Oreochromis niloticus: one gene and its partner. The main gene of each other region encodes a partner of the protein of the gene in region 2 in a complex. Links are inferred from orthologs where the notes say so. Each region holds a gene or a part of one and is shown on either strand. Other genes may lie near its edges. The genes, in order: polr3k and polr3g.

Region 1 (16,870 bases), on a different chromosome or scaffold from region 2:
GTGCATCTGTACACACTGTCAAACATACGCGAGACAAATGCGAGCTTAAAAAAAGGGAGCGAGACAGAGAAAGAGAGAGCCAGACTCTTCACTTAACGCGATGGGCGATGGACTGATTCCTAAAGGCTGAAGATGTTTGAATAATTTATTTTCATTTTTCAGTAAATACACATCTGCACAGCATACAAACACCACCAGAAAAATAACAGAAGTATGATCCAGCGCTCGTTTTGTTTCAGCATCATTTCAAACTCAAATAACCATCAGATGTTACAAGTCAGGTTGTAGCTCAGTGACATCTGCTGGCCACATCTGATTTGAATCAGCTTTATACAAACAAATGGAAGACGTGCTATCCTTTTGGTTTCTGTTGTTAATAGTGACACAAACCATTATATCTTGGCAGTGCGGTGTGTGTGTAATAACTGTGTCATATTGTTAAATTATTGAGGACTTACTGGCAGTTTCTAAGCCACCCAAATATGGAAGGAGCTGTTATGAAAATGATGCAAATTTCTGTTATTTTTTTATTTCTTTTCTTCATCTCCTCCTTTGTGCCTCATTTGACCACCCAAGTGTCTCCCCTGAAAAAGGGCTTATGTGCTGGAATGACAAATGTTTAGTCTTTACTACACTAGCATAACTCGGCATACAAAAACCTTGCATTTGTATGATTTACACATGATGTATTTATGTTGGCTTTTTATACAAATATTAACAGTCGTTTTGTAAATACAGAGATTCTTTGGGATTTCAATGTCTGCCTATGAGCTTCAGCACTTGCCCTTTTACTGCTTGCCATTAAAAATTTACAAGGAAAGTCTGTCATTTTGAAGTTTTATTGTATTTAAAAAAGATTTGAAAATAACTAGCATGTTTAAAGTACCAAAGTATTAATGAAATATACATTTTGTTACACAGATGTGCCTGAAAAATGCATTATAATACGCATATGCATAAAGGCAGAAACCACCCGTCTCGTCTGACAGGCTTCTAAAAAGTAATAGCAGCTATAGTTTGAGATTACAAACATCACCGGTCATGCACTGATGTTCAGTGCATTGTGCAGGAGACCCTTTTTGCAGCTTGTGTTGTTATCACTACTAGGTGGATATCCAGCATCTTCTCCATCTTTCCTTATCTGCTTTCATCTCAGAGCTTTTTAATAGTTTTGATTAACGTTCGGCACTTAGGACATCTGTGGTTGGTAGACTTGAACCTATCCATGCAAAAAGGGATGAGGCAGCAACCAGCCGCACAGCTGCAAAAGAAGAAACAAGAAGACACTTAAGTGACAACTAGCCTGGAAGCTGTGTAACGGTGACAATAACACTGGCTAGACAAACAGAAACAGTCCAAATCTGGTCAATCTGGAGGAGAGTTTCATACCCTATTAAAGCTGTCATGATGCACACCAGCCACGTCACACTGCTGACAGAGGAGAACGTCTCTGTCGTGATGAACTGCCGACACTCTGGACACTGTGTCCTGCACGGAGCTGCCGGGAGCTTGTCCAGCTCCAGAATCACTTCAGGGGCTGTGAAGGGAAGCAATGCATGATTGATGATTTATTTTATAAAAACAAAACATCCATCTCTCTCGTTTTAAACTTGGACAAATTGTTAAATAGTTTTCCACAAAAAAGAAAGAAAAACACACATGAAGGTACAAAAATCAGTAGCATGAAGTCGTATTTGATCTGCAGCTGGGGGGAAATGCACTCAAGAAGCCCCGATCCAAACACAAGTATCTGCATGCAGTCCTCACCACGAGTGTGGTTTTCATTCAACTTTTCATTCTTTTATGTTTTACAGGACAAATTTCCAAAAGTAGCTCACCTGGGATAGTAGGCGGAGCCACAACATAGACGATATTAGAGCCAGGAGGAGGAGAAGGCGGAGCAGCAGAATCTATATTCTCTTTGTCTGTGAAACTGACCACTAACAAAGAAGAACAAATGTGGTTAGTTGTGTAAAGTGTGCTAGATTTGCTGTAGCAAACTGGGCCTCACCTTTCTTGTGCTGTTTGTTTTTGGTGGCATTGAGCATGTTGTCGTAATTTTTCTGGAGTTCGGACTGTTTTTCATTCAGTTCCTTCAGTTTCTCATCGATGCTCTCAATCTCCTTCTGAGTAGAGACTGCTTCCTCTGATTATAAAAACAAAACAGTAACCATACAGAGGTTATACATACAGCACAACTTGCTTTTATTCCTCGTGGAAAATCTAAAAGACTGCAAACAGCCATCACTGTCACAGGAGTTGCTTGAGTGGTCACCTGTTTGTCCAAACTCGGCTCGATTCCTCAGCTCTTGAAATATGCACAGAATGTTTTTCCTCTCCTTAAGTTGTTCCCTTTTGAGTGAGACATGTTTCATCTCAGCAGCTATCTCCTTTAGTTCGCTGTCTAAATCCATGGCAACTACTGGAAGGACAGAAGCAGAAGAGAAAGCATGACCTTATTTAATTGCAGATATTATTTTTGCACCGGTTAAGCATATAAAATGTTACTGTGAATCAAAGATTTACAAATGTGTTTCTTTTCTATGCCCCACATTCTAAATGAGATGATTGCATAAGAGAGTGCATGCATTATTAATTAAGTTCTAAGAGGCAGAAAATAGTAGAAATCCAACTCCCTGTTTATTCCTACTGCTTTCTTTTTCACATAAAGTTGTTAAAATGACAATGATTGTGTAATTTTATTTTATGAAAGTCAGATTCCATGATTATCCTAATCATTTTTCATATTGTATTTGTTGTAGTTGTTTTTACGTTTGGTTCTTGTTGTTTTTTGAGTTCTTTTCATTTTCTGTTCTGTTCAGTGTTGGTTTGTATTTGGTTTGGTTTAACAAATATGGAATAATTGCTCTCAATTATGCCAAAAACATGTTACCTACAGCATATTTAAGATGACTCAGAGACTTGGAAGGCTCTTCTAGCATCTGCTGTCATTAGGTAAACCTGATCAACTGCTAAACGCAAATATCTAACCAGCCAATCGTGCGAACGCAACTCAATATGTTTAGGCATTTGTGCAAGACAAACTGCTGAAGTTCAACCTGAGAGTCAGACGGGAAAGAAAGGTGATTTAGGCGTTTTTGAACGTGACGTGCTTGTTGGTGCCAGATGGGCTAGTCTGAGTATTTTAGAATCTTTTGATCTGTTGGGATTTTTCCCAAACAAACATCCTTAGCGTTTTCAGAGAATGGTCCAAAAAAAAGGAAAATATCTTACTTATGTCATCAATAGAAATGCCCTGATGATGGCAGAGATCAGAGTAGAAAAGCCAGATTACTTTGAACTTATTCGAAGGCAACAATAACTCAAATAGCCACTCGAAAGATATCAACATATCAAACCTTTAAACAGATACCAGGTGCCACTCCCATCAGCTAGGAACAGGAAGCATGGTGTGGAGGATATTCTCTTGATGCTCTTTGTGCCCCGTAGTTTAAATGACACAGTACACTTGAATATTGTTGCTGACCCTTTATGACCACAGTGTGGTCTGATAGTTGCTTCCAGCAGGGTAACAAACCATGTCACAAAACTCAAATCACCTAATATCTCGAACATGACAAAGTTTCCTGCATTAAAATGACCTCCACAGCCACCTGTACTTAATCAGCACCTTTGGGATGCTGAGGATCGGGAGGTTCACATCATAACAAATCTGAAGCAATTTTGTGATGCTATCATGTCAACATAGACCAAAATTTCGGGGGAATGTTTCCAGCACCTTGTTGAATCTATACCATGAAGAAGGCAGTTCTGAAGCCAAAAGGGGTCCAAAAAGTGATTGCCGGTATTTAAGCTGTTGTAAATTTGGCCTATAATCTATCACACATATCTCTCATGAATGATATTTAGTCATTTTGAAGCAGAAAGAACATTTCCATCACATGGTAAAGACTGCAATCAGTTTTTGGCAAAGTGACATTTAACAGTTCTATAAAGATATTTTAACTGGCAAAAAAGACTGGACTGATTATAATGTGACTGATTATAATGAACACAGTGTAGGTACAACAATGCAGGGTCACCAGAATACTTGCAAAACAAATCAATTTTATATAAATCCCCTCCACGAATTTACCAATATAACTATGGATATTAGACAAAATGCACATAATCAGCAATCACTTTTTGGCACAATTCCCAGGACCAAACGTTATTATAGTTAACTGACATGTAACTAAAAACTAAAACTAGATTTAAAAAATCTTACTTAACTAAAATGAAAATCAAAACTAGACTTTTGGAATAAAGAATGTTGTGAACTTGGAAAACTCCATACAATAAAATAAAATCCTTAGTTTTAGCGTTTGTTAGTTTAGTTTAAAAAAATAAATAAAAACTGTGGACTATAATGTGCTGGTGATAAAGGTCATATTCTTTTAATTCATTCCAACCATATTTATTTACATATATGATTTGCTTATCTTTTCCCCCTTCAAACATTTAGCACGAGATCAGTAACAAACATGCAAGTTTCAGGCTTAAAAAAAACAGCTGCACCGTGTTTTGGCTTTAACAGAACGCTGTGGAATTTACTTCCTCTTACTGAAAAGTTTTTAAAACTATATATGTATTGGACTAAATATTGTTAGTTTTTTTCTAATTCTGCAAATACCCTTTGTAACTATTTTGCAAATAAGCTATAGAAATAAAGTTTATTACTATTGATATGAAATAAAAAAGATGCAGTACATGAGTTCATCCAGCATGTAGTCAAATATGCTGCTTTCTCTGAATCAGATAAATTGGTCACAACCATCTGCAGCTAATTAAAAGAAACATGGCTTCTCAGGTCTGATTGGATGCTTAGAAAACAAGCAAAAGATCTATAAAACAGAAAGAGACACGGACGCTGATGATTGCGTGTAATCGTCTGATCAATCTTATATGAAACAAGTTCAAATAAGTATCCAACTGCACTGATGCTCCGCTGTAACATTAATCTAACATCTCAATTTATAACCCCATAAAAATCTATTTCACCATTATTTAATAGAAGATATCTGCATTACCTTCTTCTGTTCCTGCCGTATCGTGTATATCCTGTAACACTGGTACTGGTTCAACAACAGCATACTGTTCTCAGGGAATATTCAAATCATCAGGTTATGGTTATAACTGCCCTATTTTGGACCTTATATAAAGCTCCTGCTAAGCTGCAAGCCTAGGAAAACAGCTATGTTATTGCACAGGTATGCAAAAGTCTCTAGACCCCATCTTTTTATCTTTTGCTGAGAAAATGGGGATTTACACACGTGCACAAACACAGTTTGCAATGTAAAAACTATTCTGTACAATTTTAACAAGCTTGAAAGCCAATAGTTGGTATGCGCACCTTTATTCTTCAACACATTCTGAACTCTCTTATGCAAGCTTTCTAGTAATTTCTTTAAGCAGTTTTCAAGAATAGTTCTCCAGGGTTTTTAAAGGACATTTAAAGCTCTGTCAAGATGATCACACACTGCTTCAGTAATGTTGAGGTGTGGGCTCTAGGGAGGCCAATCCATAGCTCACAATGTTCCAGTGTGTTTTTATTTTTAATGCACCGGTAGGAAAAGCACACCATGCTGAAAAATGAAGCCATTGCCAATCAGTTGCTTTCCTCTTGGTACTGAATGGTGGCTCAAAGTTTGGTGGTATTTTTCTGCATTCTTTATTCCATCCGTTTTGATAGGATTCCCAACAACACTCGATTAAATGGAGCCCCAAAACATAACCGTGCTTTATAGACTCACTCTTCTACCTCTCTCCTGACCTCCTCTGTACACACTTAAGATGGTTTGAACCAAAACTTTCAAATATGCATTCATCACTCTATAAAAGCACTGTTTCCACTGACTTTAAATACAATTATTGTGCAATTTTGCATACCTCAGCCTTTTCTCCTGGTCCCCCTTCCTCAAGAATGACTCCTTGACAGCCACCCTGCTTCAGCAACCAGTATATGGATCGACTGAAGGGCCAAATGTATCTCTCAGGTCCTGAGTCAGGTCTTTGCTGGATTTTTATTTGTATTTTTTTCAGATTATGTTTACCTGCTCCTGCTACTTCTTCTTTTGGCCTCTACTAATGTTTTGTAAGGACATGCTGCACACCACAGTGAGATATGCAAAGGTTTTAGCTAGTAGCTCTTTGGAAATCACCTTTATGCACAAAATACTATTTATGCCTGTGACACTGGTTATCTGGCCATTCTGCAGACTCAAAATAAGAAAGTGGAACAAATCATGTGTTTTGTGACAGGTTGCCAGTAACAAAGTGTGTATATATTTATATACACACAGACACACAGGTACACAAAAAAATTCACATTGGGAATAAAAGTGACAACTTATAAATATTTTATTTACATGAAGCCTCTTTGAGAGGCTAAAAGATTCTACAACAACAGCAGATGGTGTTTTTTTTTCACTTTTTCCTGAGTCTCTTCATGAACGTCACTTCATCTCTGTTCCTGATCCCATAGCTGAAGATATACACAAATTAAAAAAGAGAGGGAGGGGGTGAATGGATAATAAGTGTTATCAACACCATGAAATAAAGTGCTAACTTGATACACTTACTCTTTAAGCCTCATCTTGTCATCTTCGAGCTTCTCGCCCTGAAATACTAAATGATACGTCCTCCAAACATATCGCCTGGAAACACAGAACACAGGGAAAGAGTAAAAATATGACTTTTTTTAAACATGCCCCATTTCATTCTTGTGTTTGTGAGTGTGTTTACCAGCTGATGTGTTTCACGCCGCCTTCGCGTTGCTGTTTTAGCTCCATAAATCTGCAAATAGCCTTCTTCAGATCAAGGACCGTAGCATTTTGCACCACCACAATCGCTATGAGGAAAAAAAGCAGTTTGTATGTTTTTGTCTTTTGGGATTTTTTTAACCAGAAGAGTATAAGAGGCTTTGCGAATTTAAAAAGCATGTAAACAGAAAAGAAGACAGCTTCAGCACTTACGCATCACTTCACTGTCTGCTTTCAAGACTCTTACAGTCATCGCCTGGCCGTACTCCAAAGCAATCTGAGAGTTGACCTCCTCCAGAGTCACCTGAAGATAAATATTTTTTCATTTTTCTGTCAGCACATAAATTCGCTTAGTCTCAAAAACATGAAGGGAGTTCCTGGATATTCATCGTTTAGTTTTAGTTTTGCTTATATTTAATGTTTTGATCTATTTGATTCATTTTTGAGTCAAACTTTTTAGGAATAAATGCCGAACTGTTTTCTTTTTAGCCGCTTCCTAGTTCTTTGAGCCTATATAATATGAAAATTAATTTTTGAGGTTTTTCATTTAGACAAAACAAAAAAGCAATTTATGCAGCACCAGTTTAGCTGGTGCTGGTAACAGGTCCAACAGGTAATCTTATGCTGCAAGGTTGAATGCAGAGGCAGAGGTCAGACTCCAACACTGCCCTTAGCTGCACGTCTTCCTGCGCTCACTGGCTCTCTGCTTTCCTGTCTCCTCGTACCTGCATAACATAATGAAAATGAGAAGCCCCCAAATAATGTAAAAAAAAATTAATAAATTAAAAATTAAACCAATTTATGGTGGTCTTGGGCTTTATGACATCAGTTGGAGACATTTCCCAGTGGCCTAAGTCCTTTTGCTCTGCTGCGAGGAGTCTGCTCTACCAAGGATATTATTGCAACCAGGAGAGCAGTTGTTCAATGAAAGTGTACAGAGGGAAACGAAAGGTGGAAAGGAGTGGAAAAGAGAGAAATTAAGTACCTGCGAGAGTCCAGCTGAGTAAAAAACACCAGCCGAAGCACAAGTTTCTTTTCACACTGTTGAAGCTTTTGTTCGACGTCAGTGAAAATGTGGATGTGTTCAGTCTCACCCTGTATGTCATCTCATCTTGTATTTTTAGACTGTAGGCAAATTAGTTTCTGTGTCTGGCCTTACATAACTGAATTAGATTTTCATGTCCTTAAGATTTCATTCAATCTATCGCCCTTAGGATTTCATTCAAATAAAATAACTTTATGTTATTTTATTTGAGGTATTTTTTTTTATGTTTTGGCGCGTGTAACACAGGAATTTCCCAACTTTTGGGAAAAATAAAGTCCCCTTGCAGGAATCTGCTCTTTGTTTCAAAGTGCAAGAGAGGAGGCATTGTTAGGCTTTTTATTGCACAAGCAGCTTGAAGAGCCTGCTGCAGGTCCTGAGAACAACTGGAAATGCTGCGATGTTCCACTTCAGCCTGTGTTTTTTAATCTTTTTTACATTTATTTTTATTGCATTCTGTTCTGTATCATCATTATTATTATTATTATTATTATTATCCACTGATCAGACCCCTATAAAAAACTCTTAACTGCACTACCTGCATAAAAGGTGTCTCATTAATTTGTGTAAACACAATGTCAGCCTATAAATAAGAGAAAATAAGAGATAACAGTTGCATGAGCAGAGTGACCTGGAATAATTCCCTGCCTAAATTGCTGTTTCAATCCACCCCCGAGTGACATTTTAGAGACTAAACAGCATGCAAATAATTTACAGATAACTTGAGTCAAATCCATCTCCACAGTTTGGACTGATTAAATTATACATACAGTGTTGAACATCAGGTTGTTACGGCATTTTTGCTAGTTAAGCATGCGTGTTTAAGATTGAAACACCAATCAGACAAAACCAGACACTAGCGTCTTTATACACTCACTGGAAAATTTGGAAGACAAGCCTTTTCAACTTCTACAGATATTTAAACAGCCACGGTAGCAACTCAGTGCATTTAGGCATGGTCACGATGTCACGCTGAAGATCAAACCAAGAATCAAAACGATGAAGAAAAGTTACTTTTAAAGTGGCATATCATGTAGGCTGGTCTGAGTATTTCAGAAAGTGCTGATCTACTTGGATTTTACCACACAACTATCTCCAGGGTTTACAGAGAAAAAGAGAAAATATCCAGCGAGCGTCAGTCCAGAGGTCATAGGAGAATAGCCAGAATGCTTCAGTAACTCCAATAACCGCTTGTTATAAACAAGGTATCAGAAGAGCATCTTTGAACGTGCAACACATCAAACACTGAAGCAGGCATCCTACAACAGCAGAAGACCACACTGGGGGCGACACTCCTGTCACCTAAAACCAGGAAGGCTAAAATTCACATACTCACTAAAACTGAATAATAGTAGATTAGGAAAATGTTGCCTGGTCTGATGTGTCTTGATTTCTGCTGCTGCTGGGTTAACTTTGTGAGGATATTTTCTTTGCACACTTTGGAATCTTTAGTACCAGCCGAAAGTCAATTAAAACTAACAGCCTACCCCACTACTATTGCTGACTGCTATGTCCAACTCTTTATGACCACATGTAGCCATCATCTGAAGGTTGCTTCCAGCAAGATAACAGCATGTCACAAAGCTCAAAACATCTCAAGCTGGTTCCTTTAACACGACAATGAATTCACAGACACCAGATTTCAATCCAACATAGCACCTTTATGATGTGATGGATCAGGATACTAAGAGTGACCGGGAGTGTATACAAATATACCAAAGGCATTGTAAGAAGTCATTATATGAGGTGATCTCTCGTCTGACCATAAATGCAACTCTCTTGTCTGTATGTATGCAATGCACATGTGCATGTTCATGTAGTGGACGGAGCACCTGAATCGGCAGGTCACAGAGCAAAGGATCCTGCACGAGTCGAGCAAGTCCTTCCTCGAAAATATCCAAGATTTCTGAATGAGGAAGAGCGTCCTCATCTTCCTCCTCTCCGCCTTGAGCTGCCGTATCTGTCACATCTTCCTCTTTTACCTCTTCTTCATCCTTCACCGATTGTCCTCCTCCTTCTGCAGCTCCAGCAGCAGCAGCGGTACACGCTCTCTGCTCCTCCTCCATCACCGCCAGCTGCTAAATTTACTCAGTAGGCAAGCAGCTTAACAGGCAGTTTATCGACTTAATTTATAACTTAGGGGAAAATATACTTTTTAATGGAAACTAATTTAACTGGAAGCCTGTGGAAGTAAGTGCGTCCGTCACAAATAATAACCGGGCGAGGAAATGGGGCTCAGAAAACATGGTTCCGCTTAATGATCCCTTGTTTCTCACCGAACTCTCAATGTGGGTGCATCTCATTTTCTCTCCTTCTCTTCCGGTGCTCCACACGCAGCAGTGTTTACAGCTGAGTCCACAGAGTGCTAGTGTTGTTTAATAGTTCAAAAACTAACAGGGTTTTGTTTTTTAAGTGCGTGATAACATGCTTCTGTTCTGTCCAACCTGCGGGAACGTGTTAATCGTCGAGGAAGGGCAGAAGTGCATGAGATTCGCGTGTAACACCTGTCCCTACGTACATAACATCACACGAAAGGTAAGTAACGACGAAATACTCACATCTTACATTAAGGTTAGCGTGGCTTCTGAGAGCCTCACGTTATCTGTTTAAACCCCTGTAGGTAAATAACAGGAAGTATCCGAAGTTAAAGGAGGTGGATGATGTTCTGGGTGGAGCTGCTGCGTGGGAAAACGTGGACTCAACACCTGGTGAGTGCCATTAAAATAGTTCATGGTGTGGTCTATCCATCTGTTTATAATCGCAAAATTAACTGGCTGAAGAAATATTGGATTTTTTTTTTTAATTAGTTTGAGAGTGAAGTTGTGTCTATCGTCCTGCACTCCTGCTCAAAACATTAATGTCTGCAGTGCCTTTGAGTGGTTTGTAATACAGTTTTTGACAACTGGATATAGGCTTGTTAGCTCAATGTGATTGCTGACAACAAGTATTGTGGGGTCAAAACTCTAAACACACACTTTCATGTCAAAATTAAACTCTTTAAAAGAAGAACTTTTTAAAACAAAGTCATCCAGCCAGCCATCTTCTTCCACTTATCCGTGATTTGTGTGAGCAAGCGTGTGTTTGGATCAACTCACTTTATCAGATTGAAACAAAAACTTTCCACCTGACCATGGACAGATTTTCCTTTAAAACACTGAGGGGAAAGATGCACTTCTGGACTGTTGTTAGCATCCAAGTATTCCCATGGATGACAGTAGGGATGTATTTTGTTGTGCCATTTAAAAATGTAATTATTTAGAAAACTACTTGAGCTGGGTCCTTCAGTTTTTCGTTATTTTAGGGTAAATATCTATTAACACTGTCAATATGGATTGTCAAATGTGTAGCTCAAGTTAACAGTCATGTGAAAAACAGAGTTTTCATGTGCAATACTGTGAAAAACAAAATACATTCTTAATTAAGAGGGTGAGTCCCTGCCAGCTGCTGCTACCTTAACGTTTGGGCACAATGTTGTCACTGTGTTAAACACAAACTCCTCTGTATATAAATATTCTAGAGTTAAATGTGAGGCTGTCTATCTGACAGATGGTTAAAATTGCATCATTCAACAGCACAATGACCCCAAGCACACCACCAAATTACAACAGAATGGCTGAAAAACAAATTGGGGTATTGCAATATCCCCGCCCAATAAAAACCTAACTCTACAGATAGATTAAAGCTCTTTAAATGAAAGACAGCTGTAGCTTTTGAACTATCCAGCTTGGAGACCTATTACAGAGAATAGGATGTCTTGGTCCGCCCTTGATGACATCAATGTGAAAGTCTTCTCCATCAATTCTCTGGAACTAGATATTTTTTCTAATTTCTGATAACCAGGTGGAGTTTGTCAATGGTATGATGACTGAGTCACATTTTAGGGAGCCAGCATATGCTAGAGACCTCTACTGAATAAAAATGCATTTTATACAAACTTTTAATTACAGTGTTTGTCTTTTCTGAGGATGGTAATTTATATGGCATTTTTGTGTTGGCTTGTTTGTTTTAATCATTAGTGAGGTGGCTTTTATACTTCTTGACCGCTGCTGTCTTTGTTAATTTAGGAAGGTTTAGTCTATTATAATGGATACCAGGGATGGAAGAGCTGAAATGAATGTGGGGTTGTTAAAAGTGTGAGAAAAGGTGTGTCTTTGCATCATTACATTGCCGGACTGCACCCCCTTCAGGGTAGGACAGGTAAACAACAACCTCTCTTGCAGGTTCTCCTGAGCTGCTGGTGAAGCTTTCTGGCCAATTAATGTTTAATAAATTGGTGACTGGATTTGGGGGAGGGGGGGTGTATGAATTTTGCAGCTGGTCCACAGCTGTATGCTGGCTCCCTGTATAGGCCCTCAGTCATGAAAAGCTTAGCCTCGTAAAGTTGTGTCAGCACCACTGGTATTTATGATTCAGGATATTATTCTACATCAATCACATTTTTGTGTTGTAAATACCTTTTTCCCTTGAAGCATGAATTGCAACACGGGGAAGAAATTGGAAGAATAAAAGTCCATTAAGAGTCAAATTCCTTCAATTGGTTACTAAAGAGCATTATTTCTAAATAAAGAACAGATTTCATATTTATTTAACACAAATTACGTACTACAGGCTAATAAGAGACCTTGATAATATGTAATTTTCTATGTAAGAAAAACTGAAGCTATTGTATTTGCACTCTGGATGATGTGACTTTGTCCTCCAGGTGCTAGTTTGAGAAACCTGGCAGGATAGGTGCTTGAACTTTCTTATAAGTGCATCTCGAGAACTGCGTCTTTTGATCTGTACAGTGTTGTCAAAATTAGGAACATCCTGTGTCAGTGATGCTACTCTGTGCATTTTTCTTTATACTGTGTTGCCAGATGGAATTAAATTAAATGAGCCAATTCCAACAGTATTAGTGATTCCACACTGACATGATGCACTTGTTTACAGAAACGTGCCCGAAGTGCGAGCATCCTCGAGCATACTTCATGCAGATTCAGACCAGATCAGCAGACGAACCGATGACCACGTTCTACAAATGCTGCAACGCTCAGTGTGGACACCGATGGAGAGATTGACACCTTTTCACTTATAGTCAGGGTTTTCAATTTCATTCACAAGCACAGCTGAGAAACATTTATTTTTTTGCTTTACATTTAATATTTAAATAAAATATCCACTTTCACAATGTCAAAATTGAGTTTCCTTCATGACTTTTATTGATAAAATAGTAGCTGTATACATAAGTCAAACAAATCTTTGACTTACATAGTTATACATTTCACAGACATTTAGAGCAATGCAGACCAGCAAAATCCACAACAATGGTGTACGTTACACCGTATTAATATTTCAATGCAATCCTTCATTTCATATTGATTTTCTTGCAGAGCTCCGTTAGCCGCAAGGAAAACAAAAACAAATGCACATAGAGTCAGGAACTTGCCAGTGAGAATGACTTCGATGTGTGGCTCGTGCAGAAAAACTCTGCGCTCGGTGCATGAGACATCCGGCATGCTGATGGTGGAACAGTATCTGTTGGTGTTAAATTTGGTGGGATCACAATGTTGGAGTTAATCTGTTATTTAAAGCTTTTTCCTAGCAAAGAGCTCACTATTTAGTATCTGTAATCGTTTTTTAACATGCCTCTGAGCAATGCAAGTCATCAGGAAGGGCTAACGCTAAGTCAGGGACTCAACATTGTGTGAAGATGGTCCCACCGCTGTACGTTAAATTATACATGTTAGCACATCTCATCAGTGAGAGCAACTTGGAATGAGTTTTCAAAATAAATTAACGTTATAACAAAACACATAACAGAGCAAATATAACATACCGTGCCACTAGTAACAATTTTCTGTTTGTTTTGAAATAACTTATTTTGAAAATCACCTTAAACGACCCAGACTCAGCATTTGGCCAGCGACAGGACAAATCACTACCGAGATGTTGTGGAGTGTTCGTCCATCAGTAACAGTCGAGCCCTAAGTCTGTCAGCTCTACTTTCAATCTACTAAATTCTGAAAAGGTGCAACCATGGTGGGATTCACTCAGCTAACAGCAAACCAAAGTAAAAACCAAATGATGCATAGGTGGTCACGCTTTTTTCCCCCCTAGACAAATGAGGCATCTGAGGGGCAAAGGTGAACTTTAACTTAAAGTACAAATAATGACTCAATCATCAAAATAAAACACCTTTACAGACAGAGGGCACTCATGCGCATTAGCTCAACAGTAAGTCACAGGACATTTTGTGACTACAGCCCAAATTAATAACAAAATATAGCAGGTTAACGTAAATCTTGGGACTTTCCCAACAAGTAGATTTAGTAGCTAAATATTATAAATGGTTCATTTTGCTCACATTCAAAAGGGATCAGTGATTAAAAGGAAACACTAGACCTGCTGGAACAAAATAATCAGACAAAGGAAAATAAAAGTTCCGTTCTAAATATTAACCCTTGTGTGGTGTTCGTATTTTTGTTACTCAGCCAGTGTTCATGGGTCTGGTGGACCCGCTAGAGTTTTGGCTTTCCAAATTAACACTATCAAACAATTTTATGTTAAATTACTCAACAATGTTTACTTCATCCCAATTACAAGCTATATGAACAGCAAACATGGTTAATGTTTGCTGTACGCACCCACTTATCCCACACTGTCCTGATGGCAGCTAGCTTGTCTCTCTGCCACCGAGCTGGTCTGTCATCTCAGTTATCAAAACGGATAATCCTGGAAATTTTGTGGAAGTTTTCCAGAGACATTGATGCACTGAAAAGTTCTCTGCCGGTTTCTGCATCCCACAGGGATTCTGTGGATTCCCCTTTGGACCTGAAAACTCCAGCAAGGATAAGAACCCCAAAGTAGGCCTGTAGATCATTTTGGTCCATCTCCTTCCACCTCTGTTAGATTTGTATTGTTGATTGTCATTTATGCTTAGAAATATCTACTCATATATGCTTAGAGTTTTATAATTAGTTGTAGATTGGTAGAGGTTTGATCCTTAGTAGCCTGTGGAGCCTCCCAGAGCACTCTGGCATGCACACACAACTTAAGGTCAGGAGAGAGGTTATATCTGCTCTTCCTGATATATGGTATAGCAAACACACGTATATCTGTTTTACTTTAAGTGCCTTTTGTTTAGGGAAGTCTTTATGGGGTCACACTGTGCCTGTGCTAGACAGACCCAACATCTCTCTCCAAAAACACACCATCCTTCTAGATTACTGCAATCCAGAATAATTTTCTGGATGGAATCTGGGATGAAAAGCTCAAATGAAGACTTGATGTCCTGCACATGAGTAACTGCCAGCCGTGTTGGCCCTGGTTGCATCCTTATCGCATTAGCAGCTCTGCAGGGTGGCTCATTTCTTGGGCAAGAAGATCATTCAATTTCACCATTTTTTTACATCCATATTTCTTCACTTGCTGTCTGGTGGGCTTGTTCTGGTCCTGGAGCTGGCTGCTGATGGGGTACTCATCTTTGTTTTGTTACTAAATGGTGCTCAATCTCATCCTCTTCTTCAAAGTCACTGTCAGACTCTGAATTTTCAAAAATGTGATCCTCATATTCTGAAACCTCTTCCTCGACATCATCATCAGAAGCTCCTCTCTCTTCCAAAATCAATAAGGCCCTTGCAGCAGATAATATTTTGGCCATCTTGATCAGTTGTGATAAGGAACCACACTGGCAAAGTCTTATTTATAGTATGATGCCCCTAATTTGCAGGTGGGACAGGGTATGAGAAAATAAAATTTGGATCCCTCAAGAAAGAGGGTAAAATGTGCGGGAATGTAAGAGCAGACGGTGTTGATAGTTGAATTTTCAATAATGTGGCAACTTTGTGCGGGAGCGGGAGGAGAAGAAAACAGTAGCAGCAGCACCAGAAAGGAGGAAAACAGAGTGTGAGAACACAGGACCTACACTTTCAATACTTTTATTAGACCTGGGTCCAATGGACCCGAACACCTTGTATGTAATGTAAATGCGTGGGGGGAGCTACAGTATGCAGTCATTGAAAATTTGTTTGGATTTATGTTCTTCACAGAAAATGAGCCAAAGCCAATGAATTTCAGGTTGAATAAATTATTAATTGTTTAATTTTTCTTTTGAAAAAAACTGAAAACGGGTCTCACAGACCCGAACACCATACAAGGGTTAAAATAATGAATTAAATATCTGAAATCAAAGATAAAAATTAACCCATGTCTGAATACACTTGCTATAGAGCAAAATTCACAGATGAATTCAAATAAAGTGACATTTTCACAGCGTTCTCTAACAGAGGCAGTTTTGTGTTTTGTTTTTTTCCCTTTTTTTCCCGCATGCGAAACATCACAAATTTACCTGTGCCTCTGTGGGGCGCCTTCACCTACTGCGCTTAAGTCAGAGAACTGTACATTTCAAATGCATGAGAGAAGTATGCTGAACCGTATATACAGGAAATATGCTGTGAACTAATGAGAAAACTTCACTTACAATTTAAGAGGGCTACACAACACTTTGCAAAAATGTAGAGGGGTGCGGAGGGGAGAAGCCTGTCACTACCAGCAGGGGGCACTGTGGGTTTATGTGTGTGCATGTACTTGTCTCTGTGGCATCCAGCTGTCCGTGGTTAGCATATACGCTTGTATGTATAAATGTAGCCCTTACAGTAAGGGCAGGTGTGTGTCACATCCTTGAGGTCGTCAATCATACAGGGAATCAAGCAGCAGCCGAGATCACAGCTGTGAACGAGGAGCAGACGGACGGAAGATGAAGCAAAAATCAAACACCTGCTCATGATTGTACACGTTACGTACATTAAGCTCTCACAAAACAATCACTGGGTCAAGAACATGGCAACACAGAAGCATGAAATATACACCATCTGCTTATCTGCCCCGATCTGAACATATGCAAAAGTTGAAGGTCACAGATCCCACAGTATACTGTCGTGCAAAATTTAAGACAGACACGATTAACAAGTTGCTAAATCAACAACATATTATTGAAACACCGTCTGTCTGAATGTTCAGGTAATATTTTATCTTCCAAAGTCCTTAACAGGTGAGCTGGGAAGTAATGGACGCTGTGGGGTATTTT
Region 2 (16,360 bases):
TTTGGATTTTTGGTTCAAATCATTTTCAGTATGTACAGAGTCCAGCCATCTGTAAAACACAGTGAAGGCTCTGTCAGTATTTTGAGCTGCATTTAAGCCACATGGTGTTGGGGAACTTGGCAAAATTTATGGAGTTATGAACTCAGAAAACTGCTGTCAGAATTTGAGGCACCATGCAACACCAGAAAGAGTGCGGAAAGAGTGTGTCTGACACCAGCTGCATTTTTTAATATGATGATGATACCAAACACACACCCCATGCAATAAACGCACACCCGGAACAGAAAAACCACAGAAAACATCCAAAGAGCTTTGAATGTCTTTCAAGAATCTTAGAGAACTATTCCTGGAGGCTACTTTAAGAAATTACAAGAAAGCTTGCCTAAGACATCCAGGCTATGTTGAAGAAATGTGACTTTCAAACTTATTAGAATTGTGCAAAATACAGCACTCAAAATTGTGTGCTGTATTTCCATGTATGTTTGCACTCATCTGCAGTTTCTGCAATCACTGCGCATATTTCCCATTTTTAAGTAATTTTTTTTTCTTTATGCATAGTCTCTTAAGACTTTTTTCTTCGCAGTACTGTATATTCAAGGGTCAGCAGTGGTAACCAACAGGTACGTAATTCAGAATATAAATAATACAGTTTACTCTGTATTTAAGTAGAGTAAACTTTATTACCTATATCCTGTTCATAGTGACAGAGGTTACGACTAAACGGAATCTGGCTGGCTTAAGGTTAATCTAGCTGTTTACAGACACGGTTAGCAGGGTTTAGCCCCCATAAAGCCTCAGTGTTCACAGCCAACACGCGTGCAGTGTTGTACATTTATAAACAAAGCCGTTAGTTTAACCTCACAGCTACCGCGAATATCAATACACGGGTGTAAACTGAGAAAATGAAACAAAACTCTATCATTTCTATTCAAAATTAAGTTACTTTACACGCAGTTTTACTTGACGTTGGGCGCCACCTCGCGGCGAAAAAATAAAGGTTGCGCTGCGGTCGCGTGTGGTAGCGTCATTACGTAAATATTGTGTTGACGTGGCGTGAGCGGTAGCAGTTCAATAGCGGTTAGCAGGTACGTAACAAACAGACTACAGGGAGAGACCAAGGAGAATCCAGTGGAAGTATGGACCGTAGAAAGAACAATTGAGGGATCGGGATTCACTTTATCAGGTAAATGTAGTTGTAAACGATTTCCTAAAGACATTTTAATCAACTGCTTATCAACGGGACACTACAAAGCTTATTAGCGGTGGCGACATAATAGATGTGGACTCCAGTTAGCAGTAGCCTAGCCTGTGGAGATGGGTTTCTATTCGGTTGTACATGTCGCTTCTTGTTGGAGAGGATCTGGAAAGTCTGTTTAAGACAGTAGTTTAGTGGCTTAAACGAAAGTGTTTCTTAACTTACGCGGTTATTTCTGAAATATAACCGTCCCACACTGCACTGTTGTTTTACGAGAAAAACAAGAGTGTAGCAGCATTATGCTGTTCGTAGACAACAACGTAGCTAAATGGTTGCTAACCTTAAATTTTAGCCACCATATCGCTTTACGAGCTTGGTTAGTTAATCACATGCCTGCGTACTTGAATAAGAAGATGATTACTGGTGTGCCCGTTGTTTAAACCATTCAGCACTAGATGCTGCTTACATAACACTCGTTGTCTGGCCTTACATTGGTCCAAAAATAGACGGCTTTTTGTTGAAACTAATAACATAGTATTGCCTTGCGGTTATTTCAGAGTTGTGATATGGTGGACCTTTATCTGATCTGACTGAACCTTTTTTGAGAGCTGACTAGCCTGATCTTATAGCATGATCATAGTGGTATATGTTGAGACTAAAACATTCAGTGTAATCAGTCTTATCTGTCAGATCATAGCAGGATTAATGTGTTTTCTATTTTCATATACTGCCAAAATGTTAATGCCTATTCTGTTAAACTACAGTAGCACATGTTAAGCAAGTTGGATAGCCCATAGATTTTAAGATGCACACTCTAATAAGTTTTTTTCTTGATTCAGTATATCAGCCTGTGCTCTGAGCCATTGTTTCCTTCTGCCTAAAACAGTGAAGAAAAATGTCCAGCAGAAGCCAGCACTATGGATTCCAGTCAGCCACCATGGTGCAGCCTGCCAATGGCGGTCATGCCTATCTGTTCGGAAACAACAGCTCAGAAAATGATATGTCAGAAGAGGATGGTGAAAGCTATGAGCTGCGGCCTCGTGGCAGAGAGAGACTCAGGAGGAGCACCTCTAAAGAGAGAATGGATGACATTATCTATTTGACCAGAGATATCCAGGAGGGAGACACTCTGAACAGCATTGCCCTTCAGTACCATTGCTCAGTATGTGTTTGCTTAGATTTGTGTGTTTGTTTTACCTCTCCTTTGCAGCATTGACTGAAATCCTCATTTGTATGTTTTTGTATACCTGCACTTTTCTCTTTACGTAGGAAACATACAGAAACATGCTTTGTTGCTTTATATGTTTAGGAAAGCAGGTGAGTTGTAGTTAAACTGTTGTTGCTAAATTTATTTTATGATGATAGTGGTTATTAATTTCTGAAATTGAAACTGCTTGCTAAACAAAGAATTGGAAGCAACCTTCAGATTGAATATTTGTAGTTTTCACTACAATGTTTCAAAATGATTTCTTACTATATGTAAAGCAGCACTTTTTTAGAAAAGATATGTGAGATTGACAAACATCTGTGGAAAGTTTATTATAATTAGTGTTTTTTATATATGCATGTAAAGAGTTCAGGTACAATTCAGTGGTTGGCTCTAAAGGTTCAACAGATGGCAAATTGTAAGTGGCTTATTAATTACTTCTTATAATTTTTTATTTTTTTCCCCTGTGAATCCCAGGTGGCGGACATCAAGCGTGCCAACAACCTTTTGACAGAGCAGGACTTTTTTGCCCTGCGTTTAGTTAAGATTCCTGTGAGGCGCTTTAGTGTCCTCACTGAGACTCATAACGCTGCTACTCTCAAATCTGCCTCGCCCACAGGCACTAGACACCCGCCACAGGTCTCGCACATTACTTCTCTCCCTTCTGAATCCTCCATGGACTCCTGTTCTTCCACTGACAGCGTGGAAGGTTTCCTGATGGAGAAGGACAAGGACATTGAGCGGCTGGTGAAATCCACAGGACCATCTCGGAGCGGCCTCAGTGAGGTTGTGTCCTCTTTAACGCAGCAACAGCAGCAGCCATTACTAGGAGAAGCTGGATATAAACCAGTACAGAGGAAGGATCCTTATTATGGGGCAGACTGGGGCATGGGATGGTGGACTGCTGTGGCAATCATGCTTTTTGTCGGCATTGTCACACCCATCTTTTATCTGTTGTATTATGAAGTTCTTGTGAAAGCTGACGTCAGCCATCATGGTATGCCTACACAAACTCACAACGGCTTGTCTTATGGGTATCAACAAGACAACGGTTTGCTCAGGAGTAAAGACATTCATGGAGATGCTCAAGCTAAGCATGCAGTTAATGAAGCTCAGCAGGGAGGGGTTGCGGACAAAGCAGGAGACGGTGGAGATGGAGAAAATGAGAAAACATAGCAAGGAATTTCCACCTAAAATGTGTCGCTAACTCTGAGAACTAATAGAATTATGCTGATGTTCCCATTTACAGATAACGTTTAAAACATCACTTAAATCTATCTGGCTTAATTATACAGGAGACAATAACTTTGAAGGATTGAGAGACTAAGGTGTGACCACAATCATAACTTGTGTCTCTCCATTTGCATACAGTTGACAGACTGAATGTGGGTCCAACTCTTCGCAAGATTTATGTCTGGTTTGATAGACCAACGCTGTGCTGCTTCAACCTTTTTAAAAGTGACTGCATTTCATAGTTGGTCTGAGTGTCTCCTGTAAACTCGAGATGGTGTCTTTGCAGTCAACTGTGCTGGAGAATTTTTAGCCGGTTACACACAAATGCTGCCCAGGGAGTTACAGACAGCAGCACTGCAGAATAAACTATTCGATTAAAATGGTTCAGTGGGCTCGCTTATAACTGTGGATTTGTTTAAAAGACGTTTGAGCTGTAACTTTAGCCATGTTAGTTATATGGTACTTGTTGGAAAAGTTAGGATTGCTGCCACTGTGTGTAATTAAAATTAATTTATTTGAAGACTGAACATCAGTTTTTATGTACACTACCAGTATTGATCATCAGTTGGAGTTAAAATGAAATTTTCTTGAATCTCCATCCTGCTTGAAAGAACTGTAGGGGTTTGGTTTTTTTGTAATTAAGAAACAAAAGTATAAATAAGAGCATGGTGAGGAAAATGCACAATATTCCCACAATAACTCATTTGTAATTATGTACAATTTTTAGACTTGTTATGTAGCCCTTTTATTTTCTCACTGTGTTCAGTTGATATTCTATGACAGAGCATTGTGTTCTTAACAGTATGTGCCTTTCAACCTGTGAAACTTGTCTACAGGATGAAGAATAAATAAATCTATTTTGAATAAATTATTGCCGTGTGCACATATTTCAGCATTTCTTATTTACATTAGTCTTTAACGAAAGCTTGATCAGAAAAAGAAAAAGGGCATCGCTCCACACTGAATAGCATTCCCAACTTATGTGCAATATTTAACCAAAAGAAGCAGTCACATTATGTTTAACTTCAGCACGTCCTTGCTTGAGAGACGCTCAGTATGTTGCTTCGCCATCCATATTATCGTCACTGTCCGCAGCGAAATCTTCACCGTTGTCGAAGTAGCTTTCTATGTAGTCGTTCTCCTACACAGAACGAAGAGAAAGCAATGTTAGATCTAGTTTGTACATATTGATCGTTATGTGTAACACATTTTGCAGTACATCTTGGAATCACACCTCTTCAATATCCTCCTCTTCATATTCTTCCTCTTCAATTTCCTCTTCATCCTCATTTCGCGGCTTCTTTTCAGTCTCCTCATCTGATTTTTCAGGGTCATCTTTGTTTGCCAGTTCCTGGCATTAATATCAAATTACTCATGTGAAACACCAAAGGTGTGGAGAGAGAACTGACAGTAAATTTAAATGAAGCTTACATCTAATTTGGTCAGAATGTTCTCTGTGTCCTTGCGTGATATCTTCGCACTTTTTTTTGTGCCTGTTGGAGTTAAACATTGGGTCTTTATTCTTATAGTAACAAGAAATGTGATTTCATACATATTGTATTTAATGTACCCGTTTTAGCCTGAGGTCGTTTTCTTCTGGGCATCAGTTCTTTTGGAAAAAGGTTCCAGTCTAAAATATCAAGAAAAATGTTATCATCATCCTCTTTTTTGTGTTCCACCTAATCCCATAATGATGTGTTACGCACGTACCTGGAGTCCATTCATTGTCGTCAATCTGGCTTTGCTTCAGGTATCTCTCGGTGTATCTCTCCACTTCTGTTTTCAAGTAAACAAAAGAAAGGTCATACTCTTAAAAACATTTAGACTAGTATGCGTCAACACAAACTGCAGTGTTACTCTAGAAGTTTACATACAGTCAGTAGCATGAATGTCATGGTCATTTGGGGCTTTAATGATTTCTTTGAAATGATATTTTTATAGAGTGGAAGGACTGTACAGCATGCATCTTTAATGCCTTTAAAAAAAACAAAAAAATACAAGAATTTGTTACAGAAGCTTGGATTAATTTTGGCAGGTCTTGAAGGATGAAAGGACTGATAACACTAAATGCCGCCCACCCAGACGGACCGGACTTTTAAGCATAGTCCACAAATTTTCAATAAGATTGAGGCTGTGGTTTTGCAAAAGCCAGAATTTTAATGTTAGTCTGCTTTATCCAATCCAAAACCAATTTTGATGTGTATTTGGGAACACTGTCCTGTTTGAACACCCAATTGTGTCCAAAGTTTCAACCATCTAGCTGCAAATTTCAGTTGAAATTGAAGCTGTTGATTTTGGAGCAGGGTATTCTTTTGTGGTCGGCAAAAGAATTAAAACTCGCTTCAGCGGCTGGTCTTTGAGTAGTTTCGATTTCACGGTAGACTTGAGACCCGGTTGTTCTTCGGTTGTTCGTGAACATCCTAACCAATTTTCTCTCATCCGAGGGTAACAGTTCGGATCTTCTTCCAGAAAATTGAAAACTTGGAATGTGATATTGTTTAAAATAGCTCAAATAGACTTTCCCAAATTATGTAAATTATCAATTCTCCTTCTTGGATCTTCACAGAGTTCCTTCAACTCTCCCATTGTGCGTCAATCCAATGAGCCCTGTCAAACAAATCCTTCTTTTTTTCCTGTCAAAGACAGACTAGTTGTAATCAATGATGATCACTGATGAGAAGTTAATAGGCCTTGGCCTCATCAAGCTAAAAGACATTTAGTATTTGTTCTGCTCTACAGCCCATGAACCAGCTCTCTTTTTACTGCAGGTTTTGGATGGAGTACAATGTCTAACAGCTATCTAAGACAGCGGAGGTGGTGCTCAACCATGGGATGAGAGTCTTGCTGAAGAGGCTGTAGATATGAAGCAGCAGCTGCTTCTCTGTTTATCGGTCATGATGTGTGTATATTTGCTTCTGCACAGAAGAACTGGGTGCACTTCCTTTTCATAGGTAATTTCCCTATAGTCATGTTCACCACAGACCCCCTGCTGAATAAGCAATCCCCCCTTCCCCCTATAAAATACACTGACTTCTTTACATGGTTACATTTAGCTAACTGTGGAACAGGAGAGTTTTGAAAGGCCAGTAATCCAGACAAAAGAAATCTGTGGTTTCGCAAGATGAGACATCTGTAACTCAATATTCTGTCATTAATCTGCCTCTCTCCGTTTCCCAGATATGACCTTAACTGAAAGTCTTTGTTCCTAAAAGCTGCATTATCTTCCCCCACAGCAGACAACTGTCTTACAGCGTCATTTCAGCTGATGTCAGGTTTCTAATGCACCGCCTTCCTCACCTGCTTTATTGGACTGAGGTTTGATGTTGTATGGCAGCCGTTGCATTGTTCCCCTCATCTCTTGTTTTAAGGCCAGCATATAGTCCTCATCCTCGCCAGCTTTCAGTGGAACTGGTTTAAAATCCGTGCTCTGGAGAAGTATGGATGATGTAATGCCGATATTAATAATGTTCAAGTGCAAATAAATTTCAAATCTAACTGAAATTCAGACTGCCATGTAAAGGTGTTCAACATTTTAAGTATGAATAGTCAAAATATACTACATTGTAAGCATAGTCCAAACTGTGTTTAAAAGAAAAAAAAAATCCCCATAAAGCATCCTGGCAGAATCCAAGAGGCACGTAAATATCTGCCATATTCTTTGGGAATACACACGACCAAATTAGAAAACCTGGCCATGAATTTAACATAAGCGCATACATTATTGCCCTTTACCCCCTTTGTGCTTATTTGTGAACCCTGTGAGAGACACTCATTGGGTCATAACTCTTAAACACATGTTGGCCATGAGCACGATAAATATACTTTCATCTCCCTTCATTTAAATACAAATGCAGTAAAATGTTTCGTAAATTTTATTACAAAGAATAAACCTTAACCTATTATAAGTAAACCTCCACTGTATATAGTCTGCTATTCAAATTCCATGCAAATTTCACCTACCTCTCTCAAAAAGGTCTCTCCCAAAGTCGCTCCAGTAAAGTTTGACCATTAGAGGTGAATTTGTTATACTGAAATGCAATCTGTCATCCTGCTGGTGTGTGTGTGTGTGTGTGTGTGTGTGTGTGTGTGTGTGTGTGTGTGTGTGTGTGTGTGTGTGTGTGTGTGTGTGTGTGTGTGTGTGTAAACGACTGTGTTCGGTACTTACTGGAAACAGAGGACTGGGCCCCACCCTGGCTTCTGGCATGTTGCCCCTGCCGATGCCCAGAGCGTCAATATTGAAGGTAAAAGCACCAACTCCACGACCCTTGCCTGCCATGGCTGCAGGTCTCCTCTGTTCCTGCACACACACACACACACACACACACACACACACGTCCACATATCTCCAGTCAACACGTGTTGATGAAAGTTAACGTTCTACAGCTTCCATCGCCTTTAGCGTGACTCTGCCAGCGATGAAGCTTTAGTCAGCATCAGAGACGCACTCTACGTGTAAAGTATGTCGAAATACTTACTAGAAGCCTGTTAGTATACTGCGCCTAATGTAAAAAAGCACAAAGTCTACTTCAGAGCTGGACAGCGATATTTAGCTCTTACTGGATCCACATGTTTCAGTTTTTTAATGTACCTCTCTGGCCGGTTTTATCTGTCCCTCGACAACTCCTTAAAAATCACATACATTTCAGCTGAACCTAATGAAGATACTGCTTAGACTTTATACTGCTTAGCTAGCACCGGCTTTGGAAACCTGCACACGCCATACGCCACTGTCAGCATGCGTAAATGTGGCTTTAACTCGCTCCTCCTCTGCGTGACGACAGAGGAGGCGTGGTTTGCGTATAGCCAATTGCAACCCACGTTAAGCTGCCGTCGTTTATCGGTTTGCCCAGTGAGCTTAGTGTCCTCCTACAAGGGTGTGTCTGCGGCCACCATCGCATTAACCTCAATGAAAACATATCATCTGTAGCTAGAAGGCTAGTTACACCTCTCCCCCCCAATAAATCACCTGACAGCAAGACACCATACTGAACCCTACTTCGACAAGCGAATGAACTGGGATGTCTGCAGTCGACTGGTACGCTCACAAATCGCTCGGAGACGGAATCTTCTGGATCCAGGAGCGATTCTACCAGTCGGAGAACCGAGCCAACATCTGGTTGCTGCGCGGCACACACCAGGACGTGGTGATAGACACGGGTCTGGGCTTAAGGAGCTTACCTGAATACATCGACGCCAAAGGCCTGCTGGGAAAAGACCCGCAGAGGAAAAACCCGCTGCTTGCCATCGCCACCCACGCCCACTTCGACCACTCCGGTGGTCTGCATCAGTTCCAACAGGTGGGCGTCCACAGCGCGGAGGTCGATGCCCTGGCCAACGGAGACAACTTCGAGACGGTCACTTGGCTCAGCGACAGGGAGATAGCCGAGGCTCCCAGCCCGGGATGGAGGGCAAGGCACTACAAAGTCAAGGCTGTGCAGCCCACACACATACTGCAGGAGGGTAGGTAGGAAATACAGCCCTTGCAGATTTGATTTAGGCTAGAGGGATGGATCTGTGCTCAAATACCAGCAAGGTCTAAAAGCATTCACTTAGTGACAAGCACCATAATCGATACAGTAATGGGCTTGATGGATGCACCAGGCCTAGTGTGAGCACAGTATGCTCTACAGAGTCGTTTCCAGCCTCAGATTCTGCACCGCGATTTGGCAGAAGACCAACAATGACTTGCTAGCTCACACATCGACACATATTATATATGTAATGGAGGTAGTGGGGATGAGACAAGGGGTCGGTCTGCCAGTAATTTTTACAGTTACAAAGTAGGCTAGAGGAACCAGTTCAATGCAGCAACATGAGGCCAGGACTGGTGATTACACAGGTGCAATTATCCCATTACACAAAACAGGATATTCTATCCAAGGAATGCAGGTACAGACAATTTCCCCCTATTAGAAGTGTATGGGTTAAAAAAACAACAACAAAAACTCCATTGGTAGCAACTATATGCTCATTCTCTATATCTGCAGAGCTGTTCTATTTTAAGCCAGTGTGATGGCTTTGATGTATTCTCTTGCTTCCAAGAAAGAGCATACAGAGACTGGTGTCACACTTAATGAAAGCATCCCACAGCGCGAAGTAACAACCACACAGTCTTCTCTTTTCTCAAACAATTTTTTATAGTGGGTCAAAGATCAGCAGGTGGCGAGCTGAATCAATCTACTTGATAAATCTGAAAGTGGATACGTTGTTTGAAAGCACTGGTCACTGGAGTCTTTATATAAAGCACACATTCATCAGAATAGCACACATAATAATACACAAAGCTTATATCATAAATAATGTATTTGCTGAGCCGCCGTATCTGTTGGGGTTTAATGCAAAATGCAGTGTTGTAGAGTAACTCGTTCTGCTGTGTCAGAGCCACTACTGCAGTGCAGCTGGTATATCTCATTCCCTGATGTATCAACTTCACCCTTTTTGCCAGTGCAACTCATAACTGGCGTCGACCAAATCGATGATATACTGAATGTCACAGAATCTGTGTGACTCAGTGACATGTGGAAAGCACAAACATAACTCTGACGTGAGTCAGCCAGAATATGAGTTATCACTTATATATAAGTCTAAGATTTTAAATACATAGTGGCCGGTGATTACGGTTCATGCCACGTTTGTATGTGTGAATAATTATCAAAACCTAATGCCTTCACTCTCTCTCTCTTTCTCCTGCCTAGGTGATGTCATCAATCTTGGTGACAGACAGCTGACTGTGCTTCACATGCCCGGACACTCTCGGGGAAGCATTTGCCTTCATGACCGGGACAATAAGTTGCTTTTCAGTGGCGATGTTGTGTATGACGGCGCAATGATTGACTGGCTGCCCTACAGCCGCGTCAGTGACTACATCAGCAGCTGTGAGCGCCTGGTTGGGCTGGTGGACAGCGAACAGGTAACTCTAAAGCCCACTAGAGAGCAGCCTCACAATTTCAGTACACAGTTCCACTTTTTTTTTCCAGGGGTATTTATCCCAAAGCACCTTATATCAACATTTCATAGATTTATAATGAAAATATCATGTTGCTCTGCTGAAATTTGGCATACCAGTATCTATTAGCCTACATATACAAGCTGTGTTTTCTGTGCTAATACTTAAAACAATATACTTTAACATGTGCTAAACATTATTTGTTAAATAAAATACATGTTTATTGGCTTTAAAATGGATTTAACAGGTCGACCAAGTCCTCCCGGGGCACTACAATGCATTCGGTGCGAAGCGGCTCCATCGGCTTGCCTCCACGTACATCAGCAGAGCTGAAACATGCCCTGCAAAGTTCTCCACGTTTGCCTGGAGGAGTCTGGCTGGGGTGGCGCTGCGGGTGTGCAACCCACAGTGTGCCTGCTAATGAGAGTGGGTCATTGAGCTGCAGGAAGCAAGTGCACAAAGAGAGATGTTTTAGTATGGAGGACATGGAAGAGTGTGAGGACAGAAAGGGTGGGGGCGGGGTTACCTCTGTTTTATCTGCAACTTAATGTAACGCTGTCCATTTACTTATGTAATCCAGCTGAAAATCAAGTAATTGCCAAACTTTGTGTGAAATGCCCCTACTGGGTTACAGAAGTCAATAATCAGCACCATATGAAGCCTATTATAAAAAATATTTACTGGTCTTATATGCTGATGAATATGTATATGTTGGTGTTAATATAATTCAGTGTTTGATTTTTATACTTTAAGCATATGTGAAGTTACAATAGCACAACAATAGCATAACTCTGCACTACAAACAGAACAGGGCGCTTTGGGTTTTCCTCTGAGACATTTGAAACAAAGTCATTATGGCCATAGTGTTCTCTATGCATATTACAATGCTCAGTGAAGACTCAGTGTCGACTACCTCCTATGTTTGTAATTGTGCTTTGTACTATTGACTAATCTACAGCTTTGCTATCGAAACATAGACAATAAAAAGTCTCTGTTCTACCTGCTTTTTGAGTCTTTTGCAGCACAGATTGCAGCAGCTTATAAGTGGATTTGCTTCTCCAGGGGGGAACTCAAATGGGATTTGTTGCAAGAGAGAGAAAAAGGGGCAGAACAGAGGTGGATGGAATATGATCCAACACCTGTTCAAAGGATAGAGAACTTAAAGTCATTTTCTAATCTGATGGAAACCTCTCTCAATGCATGGAAAGGGTTTAATTTGGGGGGCTTTTAGTTTGAAAAGTTAAGAAAAGTAGGATGATTTAACCTTCTAACAGAAATATCAGATTTTATTTTTAAGTTCAATGCATTACTAAAGAATTTCACCATAAAAATGTACACATAAAAATATGTATAGAACATGTTAATTTGGATACATAAGAAAAGAAGACGATTTTTAATTGATAAAACATTTATTTAATGTTATATTATTTCAACACGAGATTTCCACATTTCTCGTTTTCAGTTCACCTCCGAGGATGGCATACATGCAGAACACGAAGCCTGCCAACACGGGAAACTCCGCCAAGGTTATAACATTCAATGTTATCTGTGACAGTTAAAAGATCTGCACGTTATCTAATATTATGATCATCAAATATCAACACAGCTGCATTTATAACAAATTCAGTAATGTAACAAAAAAAACCCAAAAACAAATACAGGAGGTTTATTTGTTAACTTATAAAAATTAATTTACAGTAACAAATGCTGTCGTTCAGCGTACAACAGATCTTAGTAAAAATGGTTCGAGTTCTGAGTCCCCAAGAGGGCAACGGCTTCCAGAGTCCACAATAAACACGGAAACGGGGAAAAAAAGAGGCAAAGCTTTACTGCACTGACAACACCAACCCTATAAGGTTTTAACTCAGTTTTCCTGTAAGAAGAAGTAACTGCTCTGAGCTGTCTAACTAGCAAAAATGTAACAACAAATGGGCGGCAGTGTTAACGAATCATTAAAAAGGTGACTGTCTAGAGTTCATGTAAGCACACGTTTCTTTAGAATGTTTTTTAGAATTTCGCCAAGATTAAATCAGTTTTCTTTCTTTGTCGCGTGATAATAAATCGCTGGACGGCAGGATTGGAAACTGAAAACAAATAAAGCTGCAGATTAGTATGGCTTGGGTTTTCAATAATAATTGAGCTTTGGTTATAATCAGTTTGCTTAGGAGTTGCACTGTGTGCATACAAATCTATTACTTAGTCTGATGGCAGCCCGTCAATAGTGTGCAGATAAGAGCAGAGCACAGATTTTTTTTACCCTGAAGAGATCACAGTCATAACCAGTACAGTAAGTATGAGCACTTGCAGGGTCATTTGAAATGATCTGACAAAGAAATATTTTAACTGCCAGTCAAAACATGCATGAAAACAAAAATGGTGCATAGTCGTTCTGGGAGACCCCACAAATAGCATGAATAATAAGTAGACTGAAACAAGTATCACAGTACAGGCGACAAATAACCCTTCCCTCTACACATAGCAGTCTCTAATATTGGAAAAATCTTGACTGGTTTTACCTGTTTGTCTTGCGTGTTCATATTACCTCATGCTAACTGGCTTCTATACTGCAAACACTGCAAACTTTTCGAACATAACAGGAAACATCCAGTCAAAATACGACTAGTGCATTAACAGACATGGCCATGTTTGAGTGGCCAGGATCACTTGTGCAGACAAAAAACTGTGTTTTTTTTGTTTTGTTTTTTAGTTTGTTATTATTTTTTCCAGTTTCAAAATCAGATTTTCAAAGACAGAAAGTAGACCTAGTGTGGCATGAATTTGAGCATGTCCTTATCTGTTAGCATCACCTTCTTCCAAGCAGCATTACCATCAATTCTCAAAGCAAGCAGAGTACCTCCCAATTACTTATGGACTGTTTTGAAACACTGTGGCAACCGAGCAAATGTCAGAGACTCCTGCAGTGATTGTCACCTGTCTTTTGTGTTAGAAGACATTCCAGTTTGCCCAAGAAGGGTCTTCCATGGCTCGTCCTCCACCAAGAGGCAGGCTGGAGGCATCCTTCTCAGGGTGTGCATGTGGCATCGCAGATTGCCTGAGTTTGGTTCACGTGTGTTAAGCTAGTTAAACCGTGGTTTAATAAGCACTGTTGCCTTTAGGCAAGCAAAAAAAATAAAGAAACTGTCAGAAATGAAGTTTACACCTGACTCTGGAGCCAGTTACGAGGATCAAGTCTGGCCCTGAGGTTTCTTAGGCTGCGTCGAGCTGGGGAGGGCCTAGAGAAGGGGCCTCCCTCTGATGACTCTGGGCTGTGGCTGCCCTCACTGTTGCTGGAGCTGTTGCTTGAGGTGGAGCTGGAGCAGGATAGCGTGGTTTGTGTGCTGTGCTGTGACCGGGGGGAGCAACTGGAGATGGGGAGAGGAGCAAGCAGGGACGAGGGAGGCGGCTGGCAGGAACACTGGAAGGTCCCTCCACCTCCGTACCCTCTCCCTCGAAGGGTGCTGAGCTTAGCATCCAGAGAAAGAGTGCGTGGCCTCAGACGTGAGGGGGAAGACGACAAAAGAGAGTAGCTGGAAGTAGGTTCAGGCCAGCCGTGGTGGTGAGAGCAGGGACTGGTGCTACAGTGGCTGTCGCTATCTGAGGTCAGACTTGCGTCTGAAGACAGCAGGCCGAGCTGAGGGCAGCGGTGAGGACTCACAGGACTCCGAGGCAGTCGATGAGGGGTGCAGGGGCTGTGGCCAGACATGCGAGTACAGTGACGAGAGCGACCAGTACATCTGGCAGTGCTCTCCTCAAAAGCAGACATCCAGGTGGGAGAGGTGCCTAGCTGGCTACGGAGCTCCAGCTCCTGCATTCTCCGAGCCAGGATGTCTGACACGGTGCTGCTGAGGTCATCAGATGACTCAATAACTGCAAGAGAAAAGCAGCGAATCTTATTAGTATGCCGCCATGGAGTAAACCTGAGACCAGTTTTACAGACTGATCAGTTTTTCCTGGGATTAAATCTAAATTGCAGGGTTTTTTTTTTTTAGAACAAGTGCTAAAGATAGCAATTACTGTAGGATATTTTTAACATTTTGAGTGTATTCATGACATCTTTCCAATTCATGCAGATTACAGTACTGCATAATTCTATTCAGAATGCAGAGTCCAGCCTCTTGGGATTGCAACATTTACCACAAACCAATTCATGTTAAGTCCTAGTCCTGTTACTTCACCTGTCGTTGTAATAGGATGAGAGCAGAGCACGAATCTCAGCAGACACAGCGTTATCCTGCAGCAGAAGACCCTCACAGGAGGGTGTGGCAAGAGGAGCTGCCAGGGTTAGGAAAATCAACAGGGAAGTTGGTGAGAGAGTTGGGATAGAGCAGAGAGGGGGATGAGGGAAAAGTTGGTAGTTTGGCATTTTTAATGGACATGACAAAAAAAGGAAAAGGATGCATGCTCATTCAAACAGGAGTGATGGGAAAACAAAGAAAGATTTCATTCATGCATCAAGATAATTCAACCATTACAATGAACGGTGAAAGTTTATGAAAAGTGTGATGAAATGAATGTTACATTATTTCATATGGAAATAAGGAAAATGCAGAACAGGAAATGGCGAGGATGGATAGATATGACAAAGGAATGTGAAAAGGAAAAAGAGGAATAGAGAAACAGAAGACAAGTTAGTCAGCACGTCAGAGATAAGAACCCTTCTATTTAGAGCACAGAGAAGTGAAGCAGAGAGTGAGTTTGAGAAATTGGATAGGAAAATGTAATTGACAGCATCTTTGATGCACGTGCACTCAAGAAACAGAAATTCAACACAGCCACATGCAATGCAGGCACGGTGTTTTGATTCCCTGCTTTATTTTTCACATTAGGTCATAAGTGACCAAAAAACACCTTGATACAAGGAGAACTCTTACCCATTTCATGATACAAAGAGCCTTGTTTTGGTGTGATAGGAGCTGGTTTTCGTGGCGACGGAAGTTCAATTTTCATTAAGTCGTCACAGCATTGTTTCCACTGGCCTGTACATTGGAGACAAACGTCACCATCAACAAATCAAGCAGCAAATGGAGAATATACAGCACTATATGATGTCCTTTAAAACATATGTTAAACGTCCACATGTTGTGGGTTTAAATGACACATGAGGACCTACTCATATCATAGAAATGTTGCCAAAAGGCTTCCATCCAGCGGTGTGTCTCCTCGCGGCCGTCTGTGGTCACAGTGTGCGTAACCTCCTCCCCTCCGTAATGGTTACTGATGCAGATATTCTGAACTTTACTGAGAGGGTCTTTCTCTGATGCACGTATTCTGGTCTCCTGAAACACAGGAGTGACAAAGAATACAATCATCTACCATAAAAATGCCTACAGCAGAGAATGAATGGCAGTACAGTGTGGTTGAATGAATAAGTCTCTGCTGAAAATAAGCCCTCATTAATAAAGTCACCAGTTAGTGCTCTTCCAAACCATTTCCCTCCAGCAATTATCCAACAAAAGGATGCTGACTCCCAATTCCCATAACTTGCTGTACTCTAAATATGTCTAGGTATGGCTATGACCACTAGATGGCAGTGTTGCCCTGTTCATGCCTTTGCCATGCCGCGCTCCCTCTTTCTGTCTCTTCATGTGAGCCGCACAAAAGACCGTACAGACCTGATCTGATTGACTTGGCTTTAGGTTATCAGCATGCTCAAGGTCAGAGGACACAAAAGACGGAGTGCGTCACTACAGAAAGATTGTGAAGTCTAGGAATCGACTCTTAAAGACACAGGAAATGAGATGATTGAGAGCATGACTGGCCAGCTGACTGATCTTTATTT

Evidence for each region.
Region 1: polr3g (region 2) and polr3k share a complex: the UniProt entries of both Homo sapiens proteins name them as parts of the RNA polymerase III complex. The link is inferred for Oreochromis niloticus from reciprocal best matches to the Homo sapiens genes POLR3G and POLR3K.

Annotation. Positions count from the first base shown.
Region 1 is NC_031969.2:24,515,048-24,531,917, reverse strand, and holds polr3k (DNA-directed RNA polymerase III subunit RPC10), read left to right. Parts: upstream 1-10,077; 5' UTR 10,078-10,227; coding exon 10,228-10,338; intron 10,339-10,423; coding exon 10,424-10,511; intron 10,512-12,735; coding exon 12,736-12,863; 3' UTR 12,864-13,919; downstream 13,920-16,870. Other genes in the region: cell death-inducing p53-target protein 1, read right to left, coding at 1,153-1,261, 1,390-1,537, 1,839-1,940, 2,012-2,146, 2,276-2,414; snrnp25 (U11/U12 small nuclear ribonucleoprotein 25 kDa protein), read right to left, coding at 6,427-6,484, 6,582-6,656, 6,745-6,850, 6,975-7,065, 9,636-9,869; cdip1 (cell death-inducing p53-target protein 1), read right to left, coding at 16,401-16,512. UniProt on the Homo sapiens protein: Core component of RNA polymerase III (Pol III) which synthesizes small non-coding RNAs using the four ribonucleoside triphosphates as substrates. Can mediate Pol I proofreading of the nascent RNA transcript.
Region 2 is NC_031977.2:14,415,762-14,432,121, reverse strand, and holds polr3g (DNA-directed RNA polymerase III subunit RPC7), read right to left. Parts: upstream 8,412-16,360; 5' UTR 8,111-8,411; intron 7,933-8,110; 5' UTR 7,912-7,932; coding exon 7,801-7,911; intron 7,063-7,800; coding exon 6,933-7,062; intron 5,412-6,932; coding exon 5,346-5,411; intron 5,266-5,345; coding exon 5,206-5,265; intron 5,129-5,205; coding exon 5,067-5,128; intron 4,987-5,066; coding exon 4,870-4,986; intron 4,777-4,869; coding exon 4,687-4,776; 3' UTR 4,294-4,686; downstream 1-4,293. Other genes in the region: lysmd3 (lysM and putative peptidoglycan-binding domain-containing protein 3), read left to right, coding at 2,091-2,357, 2,880-3,578; acyl-coenzyme A thioesterase MBLAC2, read left to right, coding at 8,654-9,095, 10,331-10,545, 10,829-11,002; rhotekin, read right to left, coding at 13,736-14,448, 15,453-15,557, 15,692-15,857. UniProt on the Homo sapiens protein: DNA-dependent RNA polymerase catalyzes the transcription of DNA into RNA using the four ribonucleoside triphosphates as substrates.